Linked DNA regions of Drosophila melanogaster. The protein of the gene in region 3 interacts with the protein of the main gene of each other region in a pairwise test. Each region holds a gene or a part of one and is shown on either strand. Other genes may lie near its edges.

The links.
Region 1: the proteins of fd59A (region 3) and CG12992 interact in a two-hybrid assay, tested with the Drosophila melanogaster proteins (one large-scale study listed by BioGRID).
Region 2: the proteins of fd59A (region 3) and aust interact in a two-hybrid assay, tested with the Drosophila melanogaster proteins (one large-scale study listed by BioGRID).

Annotation. Positions count from the first base shown.
Region 1 is NC_004354.4:17,587,022-17,590,777, forward strand, and holds the start of CG12992 (uncharacterized protein), read left to right. Parts: upstream 1-1,843; 5' UTR 1,844-1,909; intron 1,910-1,966; 5' UTR 1,967-2,074; intron 2,075-2,936; exon of another isoform or gene 2,937-2,993; 5' UTR 2,994-3,180; coding exon 3,181-3,447; intron 3,448-3,495; coding exon 3,496-3,756.
Region 2 is NT_033779.5:9,249,426-9,253,076, reverse strand, and holds aust (australin), read left to right. Parts: upstream 1-2,034; 5' UTR 2,035-2,068; coding exon 2,069-2,324; intron 2,325-2,390; coding exon 2,391-2,785; 3' UTR 2,786-3,029; downstream 3,030-3,651. Other genes in the region: borr (borealin-related), read left to right, coding at 91-442, 727-1,135, 1,201-1,399.
Region 3 is NT_033778.4:22,866,511-22,870,266, forward strand, and holds the start of fd59A (forkhead domain 59A), read left to right. Parts: upstream 1-1,648; 5' UTR 1,649-1,991; coding exon 1,992-2,344; intron 2,345-2,664; coding exon 2,665-3,682; 3' UTR 3,683-3,756. UniProt on the Drosophila melanogaster protein: Involved in development during embryogenesis.

The DNA.
Region 1 (3,756 bases), on a different chromosome or scaffold from region 3:
GCCGCCAGAAACCACAATTATGCAATTTCCTGGCCGTCTCTAAGCACTTAATTATGGTTATTAAAAATTTGGCAAATAGTTTCTTCGCCTTTGTGCGCCCGATCATTTGCACATAGTTAGCTTGAAGCCAGACGCATGTGAAACATCGGAATTGGCCATATCATTATGGTTAAAATAAATTGTATATTTACATACATACATACATATATGCATGTTCGGATGTGGCGTGCCAGCTCTTAGCCAGATTTGCAAATCGGCAACGAGTTGAACGAACGATGGTAGCAATATTTTGACCATCATCATCATTCAAGAGATGACAAACTGCTAAATATTGAAGCAAAAACGTGGAAAAAATAAAAGAAGTGAAGAGAAAGGCAGCCATATGAACCACATTGAATGATTAACACTCTTTAATAGCATTAATGTCTTCATTTGTTTAATTTACTAATTGATTTCGCCAAACAAAACGCTGTATTTTAATGCTTATTGGCTAGTAACCAGAATAACTTGGCTTTGGCTTGGCCAGTAAGTAATAAAAGCCAACAAATGGTAAATAATAGATGGTGGTATCATATCGGACAGTGAATAAGGTCAGTTATAGTTTATTCAGTAGGGGTTTTAGTAAGCGATCAAACTAGTACCCAAAATGAATTAATAAAGGCAAGATAGCAAAGGAAAGAGGTTAGTATTTGCTGGTCAAACCGCCCGTTTTGAGGTCAAACCAAACCCCCTTGAGGGAGTTGGGGTAAATAGTTTTGCTTGCACTTAAACGAAATCAATGCGATTAAAATCGACTTGGCCCAGTCTTGCGGACGGCCAACTGAACTAGCCTTATCAACCATCGAGAATCGGTGTCAGCTAATCGAGCACCCACAACTACAACAACAAACCGCTGTCCCCAATAGTGGAGCACCACTTGGTCATTCCGACCACGTCGCATGGAAATGGAAAACGAGACGAAAACAGAAATGGAAACGGAAAACAAACCTAGAAGCCGAAACCAAAACAGAATAAGAAGCAGCGCCACTCCAAACATGGTCAACGAAATTTGTTTTGTGTTTTGTCACTTTCTCAGCCCAGAACCAAAGAAACACAAACGCGTCATATGGGTGCGCCCTTCAGAAAAATGTGCACAATAATGGGCAAAAGTGTACATGGCTTATAAAGTATTATTCTTACAAATACTGTGACTATAAATCGGATTTAATAACAACTAATCAATTCAATGGACAACTCAGCATTTGCATTATATTAAACCTCTAATGTGAACGCGCTTATGATATTCAAAGTTCAAAGTGTTATTTAGTCAAATAAGGTAATATGTCTGCTAGTAATTTGCCCCCTGCTGTAGTAACTATGTACGTCATTTGCAGGGGTTCTGAACCCAACCCATAGCAGTGGTTCACGTTACACTCGAGCACGTTCTTATCGCAATTAATTGCAGCGCATTGCATAAGCATCGCAAACTTATAGGGTGATACCAAAACGTAAACATAATCTCTGACTCAGCCCAGTGGGTAGCAATTATTAATTATAATTAATAAGCCAAAAGCCAAGGCAAGTCTTGCTTTGATTGGCCAAAAACGCAGCCAGAAGCGGAAAACAAAAACTGAGTCGAATTACACCACAGTTCAAGGGATACAAAAGGGAGTGGGCTGGGGGTCGATATCTGGCTAAGATCGGTGAGCTTACCCAGCCGGATCGGCACTGGAGCGCATCTGAGTGTGTCCACGTCAGCGGGCATCCAAAACAGAGCAGAAATCTTGAGATCCGAGTAATCTAGATATTGTCCTTCAAGTCAGTATTGTGCCACTCAACTGATCAACTTAAGTAGCTTGGAAATTTACATCAAATTATGACAAGTTGTTAGAAAAGTAGTATATACATATTCCTTGGCACGGGCCTTAAAGTAATATACATTTCTTTCTTATAAAATGTTTAATTTTATTACTTGATTTACTTGCAGTTGCATCTGAAGTGCAAGAAGGAAACAAATTAAATATTCACTAGGGCGGAATACTAAGGAAAACTCAAGCCACACACTGAGGAAATCAAAGTAGGAACAACTAAAACTGTAAGTAGTAACGCAAGGAAAATAAGGGAAATTGGGAAAAGGGAAAACAAGCAACATCAACATCTGCAAATCATATGCAGAGCGTCACTCGCATATGGATATGAGATTTCAGATTTTCGTGACCATATCCGGTTGCCAGTCAGCAGTTGCAACTGCAATTGCAGCTTCCATCAAAACAATAGCAAAAACCAAAAGACGAAATGCGGAGCGAACTGAAAACGCAACTTGGGTCTTTTGGGGCCCAGGGAAATCGCATCTTGGCATTCGCCATTGTTGCTATGGGGATTTTTTTCTTTTTTGGCGGGGGGTGTACAATAAATATAGGGTGGAAGTTGCGTAAAACGATGATATGATATTCACACATAGATCGGGCGATAACATCAATAACTAAAGATGATGTGGAAATCAGAAGGTTCAAATGATGTGCCTATAAGGTTACATACATAAATAAATAGATAAATACATACTCTTACATACATACAAAGGTTGTTTTCTAGTCTAGCAAATGATGTTTTAAATAAGAGAAATGTATTTGTAAGAGTACATAACTTGTATCATAAATTAATAATATTATTAAGACTCAACAATGGTTTGGTCTAAAATAATCCACCATTTGATTCAGTGTTTTGAATCCAAATTAAGTTAAGTTTGTTTTTGTTTTGATTTATATCCAGTGTTGAATAAGCTTTTCATGTACTGTGTGTGTGTGTGTGTGTGTGCATATGTTTATGTTCATCTTATCTTGTTTATCTAGCATTGTATAATTAGGTTTAGATTTTGTTAGAATAAGTTTAGATACATCCAGTGCTGTATAATGTTCCAATAACTACATATTTATCTAGTATTGCATAATTCATTTTAGTGTTTAAATAAGTTTAGATAAATCCAGTATTGTTTAATTTGCTGATGAACTTAGCAGTGATTGGCCGAAAGTGGGAAACCTAACCTCATGTTCTAGAAAAAGAATCGCCAACAAATTTCAAGTAAGCAGTGCCTTCTGTCAACTCGAATGTCATTTGGAATTGCCTGAGCTCTATTCAGTTTCGTATACCTCCGGATTACACGTACTAACGTTTGAAAAAAAAAAAACTAAAATTCCAATCAAAATGCCACACAAAAAATTTCCCAGAATGTCACAGGCGCAACTCAAACGTTTGATCAAATCACAAAATCAGAACATAGCAAAGGCCGCGTGTATTTTGGAACCCCCAAAAATTATACAGCAGCCGTCGATGAGGCAGTCCATCATTCCACCGAATCCTGCTTATAGCAAGAAACAGGGCAAAAATGCGGCTCGCCCAAATTCCGAGCGAGCTGGAAAGGTGCCAATGCAGGGGCTGAACCACGTGGTGCCGGAGGACACTGTGAAACAGGTGAAGCAATAAGTATAGTGCAAAAAGCGGGCTTATCGCATAAAATAGTACTTTCAGCATAATCAATCTAAGCAGATGCAACGCAATCGAAGGAATCCATCGTCGAAGATGCAACAAAATGGCAATGAAGCATCCAAGCAGGAGAAGCCCAATCAGCACGAGGACAAGAGCCGTCCCAAGCAGTTGTATTCAAGCGTTGTGGCCAATAAGCAAGACGGGCCCACCGCAGTGAATGCTCCTCCACCCAAGGAGGGCTCATCTGTCAATCAAATTGGATCGTGTTGTCATCATGGCAATGTTTCGGGCGAA
Region 2 (3,651 bases), on a different chromosome or scaffold from region 3:
GAAAAGAAATAGCAAAAAGACGACGCTTGCTACGAAAATAGTTATTCCTCGCAAAAACCCTGTAACGTGTAAACAAAGGCCGCTGCCACGATGCCGCGCACCAAGATACCAAAGAACTCCAAACGCAACCGCGAGGTGGCCAATCGCGAAGAGAAGGTGCGCCTGTACGAGCTGAAAATGGATTCCCGCCTTATCAGCATCGATTCGCTGGAGACCAAGTTCCTCTCCGCCGTGGACCACCAGGTGAAGACACTGCTCGGCCAGGTGCAGAAGGAGCTGGCCAATCTGAAGATGCCCGAAGTGCTGCGCCTCTTCGAGGAACTGGACCGCTTCAGCGACTTCAAGGCCAGCGATCAGACGCAGCTGCTCGCCTCGATGTCCATGAGTGGCAGCGCCATCGAGGGCCACGCCCCCTCCGCCACTGGAAGTCGCAATGACGAAGGTTTGTTGGCCTATATATGTATGCTGTTATACCAATCTGCTGGCAAGGATGTCATCACCCGAATTACAAATGAATACCGGTTTTACATGCCAAATTGGCAAATTCCATTGTATATTCGGTATTCATCATACCCTCTTGTTGCCATTTTCACTTTTAATTTTAATCTAACTGGTGTCCGGCTTTGTGACTAACTCAACTTTGCTTTCTAACTCCGCACCGCACATTTCAATGCACGCAAAATGCATATACCCACATCCACATCCTGTGCCGGTCACTGTATCTAGGCTACCTTACAGAGGACAGCAGCATCGGTGCCAGCGGTGGGAGCATCCTGGCCGCCCACACAGGCTCCCTGCTGCGGTCCACGAAGGCCATGCGCACACCCGGACCACTGCACTCGGCGAGGGCTCGTCGAGCGCGGCGCAGTCGTTCCGCCTGCGGGGATCTCAACATATTGCACTCGGCCAAACCGCCGTCAATTTCGAGCAGCAGCAGCAGCAGCCGCAATTCGCGCAGCAAACTGCGCACACCGATGGCCTCGCGTGCGAAGGCCTTCAGTGCCGACCGCACTCCTTTGAAACAGAAGCAAATGCGCTCCGGATCGCCAACTACACCGCCGATGGCATTCCTGCGCTATCCCAAGCCCGGCGAGGTGGCACTATCCAAATACGGCAGTCCCATGGTGGCTCAAGTGTAAGTATTGATCACATACTACGTGTCGATACCAATTTGTTAAAACCATTTTTCCCACACGATAGAATGCCAGACAAGTTCGCCAATGTGAACATACCCATTCGGAACGGAGTTCTTAGCTTGCGGCCCAAAAAACTGGATGCCGACGAGGTGGAGTCAAATCTGTTGGAGAACCTGGACGAGGACACCCTTAACCAGATCAAAACGCTGCACGAGAACTTGCAGATGATTGTTAATAAGGCCAGCCAGGCGGTGTTCAAGTAGCTGTCATTTCAAACGCTTATCTAGATATAATGCTATATCATATATTTTAATACGTTTCGTTTAAGTTCAGTTTTCATTTTACTCATTTAGTTCAAGTATTTTGTCTTTATTCATAAAAATCTATCGTATTTGCATAAGTTTCAATACATGTTCATATCCAAGTGTACGGCGATTTAAATGTAATGTTTTAAATACATGCTTAATCCAAAAAAAAAAAAATGAAGCGTTCCATGATGATTACTCGCCTTCAAGCAAAACGACGGAGAATCGAAAGAGATGAGAAAGTGAGAATCCAATTTAATTCTGCAATGGATAAAGTCGATGAGATGGCCAAGTTGTTCAAGCAGGATGTGGACAACAAATTGGGTTTGCTTCAAGCCAGGACTGATGCTCGTTTGCTGCAGATGAAATGGTCGGATTTCATGGCTCTAGCAAAAACTGCTACCTTCAAATAACATCTTTCTTTTGCTAATTGCAAAAGAGGCAACCGCTTTTAAGTTCCCAGATTTCAGAAAGTGGCCAATAAAATTATGTTATGTTAAAAATGTTTAAAATGTATTTTCGCACGTTGATATGAATACAGTTTTGAATCGCTTGTTCACCAAAGAGCCCTTTGACTTTGTTAGAATTAGGCGATTAGTTGACTGGAATATATAAATCGTTAGAAATATGCCTCGCACCAAGATTACAGCTCGTCGTCAGGCCCAGCGCCAGAAGGCTGATCGCGAAGAGAAAGTGCGCCTGTCCCAAATCAAAATGGATTCGGCTCTGGAGAAGATCGATGAGATGAGCAAGCGCTACAAGCAAGAGGTGGACAACCAAATTAAGGTGATCCGTGGTAGGACTGATAAGCAGCTACTGCAAATGAAGATGCCAGAATTCTTGGCTCTCGGGTTTAAGACTTTTGCCGAATTTCAGAGGGCAGGTGAGATTTAATTTAACTGTCGGCAATAGAAGAGTAATTGTTATTTTTGTTTTACTTTCTTTCCAGCTATTAAGCCGCCCACAACTCGCAGTTTGTCCATCAGTCGTGGTCGAACACGAACTCCGCAGAATGCCCTGCCACCGAGGCTTCAGGCGCATTCGGTGGACAGGGCTCTGAGTGGCGACACCATGAGCTTTGTGCGATGGCCCCGCGCCGGAGAGATGGTGCTCTCGAAGGCGGGAAGCCCGCTGGCCGTCCAGATGCGTCCGGATCGCTATGCGGACGTCCACATTCCCACCAGGGGCGGCGTGATCACCGTGAAACCGCACAAGATCAACACCGTGAAGCGGGAAGTACTGATGCAGCTGGATGAGAACACACTCAACCAGGTGAAGACACTGAATGCCAATCTCGGATTAATTGTGGACATGGCCAACAAACTGGGCAAATTGAAACCGTAATTGCTAGCTATCATAGGAAACTTTAAGAACGCGTCTATTACGCTTATTTCGTTAATATTTTATTTAGTCTTTTTCATTTTCTCATTTTCAATGTTTTTGTTCAGTTGTTAAACATTAAGTGAACGTGTCTGTTGTTCTTGTTGCTGTTTGCTGCTTTTTGCTTGCTTCTTGTTGTATAATTAATTAATAAATTTAATTAATTGTATGTATATATATATATATATATATATCGATTTGTAAGTACAAACATAGCGTACAGAATACCGTCTCCACTAACATTAAATTTAATTGTTTAAACATTTTTCTATTGTGTTGCATGTGTGTGTTTTGTGTGTCTGTGGGTGAACATTCTCAATTATGCTTGTAAGTATAGTACTTAGTTAAATTAAAGTGTATTGTGTTTTCATTGAAATGAAATTCAAGTGAAACTTTACTTGGTTTCCTAACTTTTCAACTTCACTTTCAGTTGTGTGATTCCTTAGACAAACGTTACATTTACACATATACAGATTTAGTTATTAAAAATTATCATTAATTTTTAGTGTGTATAGTGTTAAATTTAGCATTTGTTTCTTAGGTTTCCCATTTGAGTGTGAAATGTGAGTGGGAGTGGGGCGTGTCGTACGCGTTTATATAGTTACAGATACATAAAAATACAATACATAGCAAAAGGTACATATATAGAGACTTAAAATACGCTTGTTTTCACTGAATTATTCAATACGATTTTTAGAGACAAAGACAACATATACATATTTGGACAATCAATTGATACGTGTAAACAGTGACAGATGACAACAACATAACATTCAGATTTGTAACATTCATTATGTTTGTGTGGATAGGGTTTGAGAGTTTTCGCAAAA
Region 3 (3,756 bases):
GCAAATGGGAATTTTGGGGGTGGCAAAGCTAAAATAGAATAATGAAAACGATGCCAAGAGTGAAAGAAGCGACATCAATATGGTTCTGAATTCGAAGATGGCGGCCCTTATTGTATTCGTGTCTGTTTCCATGCATCTGTGTGTGTGAGTGAGTGTTTGGTTGTGTGTGGGTAACTTCCGCAAAACTGGAAAACTAATTTGAACAAAGTACAACAAATAAAAGTGACTACTGAATGTTTAATTTGAAAAGGGAAGGCTCCAAACACTGAATGGCGAACAACAACAATGGCTACAACAACAATGTCTAACAACTGGAGAACAAAAACAGCGAAAATGAAAAAGAGAAATAGTACAAAACTCACTTGGATACAAGTACAAATGCAGCAAACACATGTACGTCCAACCCCCTCCCGTCCCACCCACTCTACTGCTCTCTCTCTCTCACTCTAGTAGCCCCCATTGTGCTCGGAGGATGTTGGTGAAAATGGTGCATTTGATTCCATCTCACTTCCACACCCAAATAAAATATACAGAAAAAAAACCAATATTATCTATATTAGATGTATTGTATATTGTATGTATTGTTTTAAAATTATATTTTATTTCGGTTTTTTCGCATTGCTAAAATGACATAACTGTTCTATGCATTTTTTTTTTTTTTAAATGTATTTAATAATAATACATTGTATTATATACATATTTCAGTTAATCGTTCTTAGAATAACCAACAAAATATATCCTATGAAAATAAATACAATTCTACTTATCTAACTGCAAAGAAAAGTCCCTATAACTTCGTTACTTAACTTAAGTAAGATTTGTGGAATTTGGACTTTACATAATTAAACACATAATTAGATTCTTTTCTTTTTTTTCTTTCTGTGCATAGGGACAGAGGGCTGGGAATGAGATTGCGAGCCCGAGAGAAACCAAGAAACGTCGACATACGGTTAGAAAAACATTCGCACATAAAAATGCCAACATTTGAAGCATAACATTTGGGGCAGAGGAGCAGAGTGGTGGTTGGCAGGGCGAGTGCGAGGACGAGGGAGGGCCGCAGGGGAAAAGGACGCCTGCCTCCATGTGGCTGACATAATGAAACATTATTAAGAGCCACGACGTCAAAGCGGCAAAAGGTATCTAAATTTGCGCAAAATGTTTATCCCCCCCACCGCCGCGTTCGTTGGCTTCTGCAGTCGCTGCCAATTTGCCGCCGCTTGGAGAGAGGAAAACACAAATATCGCATTTACAGCCAGGGCTCTCCACCATTTTGTGAGGACTTGCAGCGAGTGGGAGAGGGATGGCACGAGCTAGTTCGCATAGATTGGTTCGCAGGATATCAACCCATCCCCCGCTAGAAAGAGAGGCTTGGCCGGGCTCTCTTGCTCTCTCTCCCTCTGCTGCGATGCTGTCGGGGCGCAGCCAGGATGCTGCCAGGATGCCGTCAGGATGCTCTGCCCGCGCCAACGGCGACGTCGGCAGTAGAATCACAGTTATTCGAGATACGAAAACACAGCAACGGCGACACAAAAGCTCAGGGAAACGTCAGCGGCAGCGGCAATGGCAGCGGTTTTTCATAAATAAATGTTTGAGTTATGTAGAAAAACATTTTGGGCGAGAAGATTTTCGTTTTCGTTGCGATTCAGTTAACATTTGGCCAGCGGATTCCGCCTTCAACGGACGCGACGACGGACTAGGCGCTAGCCAACTTTCCACTTTCCACACCACTGCTGGCCATATGTACAGTTTATCCTAGCAGCTAAACCGGAAACGACGGTAACAGCGAACGGTTAACGGAAGCGGAAATAGAAAAGAAAATATCAAATTCCAAGTTGAATCGAAAAGCATATGCAAATGCCAAGTGAAGCAAGTGAAACGCCAAAACGAACACAGTTCCTGAGCAAAATAGTTAAATAACAGTGTTGCGTCCTCTAAATTTAGTGAGTCCAATTCGCGGACTCAAATAGACTACAGTGTATACCCGCTAAGACATGCACACCAGCACGGATCCCATGCACACATTGCACGACAGCGTCTCCCTCTCGCCGCCGCTCATCAAAAGCTCCAGAGGCGGCTCCTCCATCGGCAACGGAATCGGATGCAGTGCGTCCTCGCGCACTGCCGCCGCAGATGCCATGTCCATGGGCTGCGACGACAGCGACATCGAGCCGTCGTCCATGGGCGGAAGTGGTGCCGCCGGCGGCAACGGAGACGGCTCGGGATCTTCGGGTGGTCCCCTGGTAAAGCCACCATACTCCTACATAGCTCTAATCACCATGGCCATTCTTCAGTCACCGCACAAGAAGCTCACGCTCAGCGGGATCTGCGATTTCATCATGTCGCGGTGAGTTTGCCAGCAAAGTTAATATCCTTAAATGAAGAAGCAATAGTTTGATTTTTTCCAAGTTATCTTAAAACATCAGAAAAAGAGAATAAAAGTAGTAGTTTGTAAAGACGATAAAAATAAATAAATCCTATAAAATTTCAATTGAAAACATAGAAAAGAAGAGACATTCAGTGCTTTAATCGATTTCAAAAATTATAAATTTTAAAATGTGATATTTTATTTACTGATTGCAATGTAAGTGATCTAGATAAACAACCAAATTCTTTAAAAAAAATTCCTCGAAAAAATGTTAAATAACTTGTGCATTTTACTTGTAGCTTTCCATACTACAAGGACAAATTCCCCGCCTGGCAGAACTCCATCCGGCACAATCTCAGCCTGAACGACTGCTTCATAAAGGTGCCCCGCGAGCCGGGAAATCCCGGAAAGGGCAACTTCTGGACGCTGGACCCGCTGGCGGAGGACATGTTCGACAACGGCAGTTTCCTGCGCCGGCGGAAGCGCTACAAACGGGCGCCCACCATGCAACGCTTCTCGTTTCCGGCGGTCTTTGGCACGCTGTCTCCATTTTGGATACGCAAGCCCGTGCCCCTCGTGCCAGTGCATTTCAACGTGCCCAACTTCAATGGGAGCAGGGAGTTCGACGTGGTCCACAATCCGGCGGATGTCTTTGACTCAGCGCTGCGAGCGGACAAGAAGTTTAACTTCTTTGCGAATGCCGAAGCATCCTTCTACCAGGGAAGTCAGTCGGGGGACAAGTTCGACCGGCTGCCCTTCATGAATCGCGGTCGAGGAGCGGATGTCCTGGATGCACTACCGCACAGCAGTGGCTCCGGCGGAGGAGTGGGCGGGGGATCCGAGAGCAGCCGTGGCTCCAAGTACAAAAGCCCATACGCCTTCGATGTGGCGACTGTGGCCAGTGCTGCGGGCATTCCCGGCCACAGGGATTACGCAGAACGACTGTCCGCCGGCGGTGGTTACATGGATCTCAATGTGTACAATGACGATGCGGACACAGAGGCCGATGCGGAAGCCGAGGGAGATGACGACTCATGCGAGGACAAGATCGACGTGGAGAGCGGCAATGAGCAGGAGGACTCACATATCTCGGACTCGGTGGACAGCGCCTGTACAAATCGCCTGGATGCGCCGCCGGAAGCGTTGATCTTTGAGGCTTCTGCCGAGGCGTCCGATTCAAGTCCAAGGAGACGCTTCGATAGCGAGCCCCTGGTTCTGCGGACCAGCAAACAGAGCAGCGCCAAGGACTTTCGCATCGAGACGCTGATTGGCCACCACCTGCATCGCGGTGGCAGCCAGGAGGAGACCAGCGACTAGGCGGGATTCCCACTCGCTTGAACCAATTGGCTTGTGTACAGTCCATTGAACGGTGATTTCAGTTTCGATCTAAG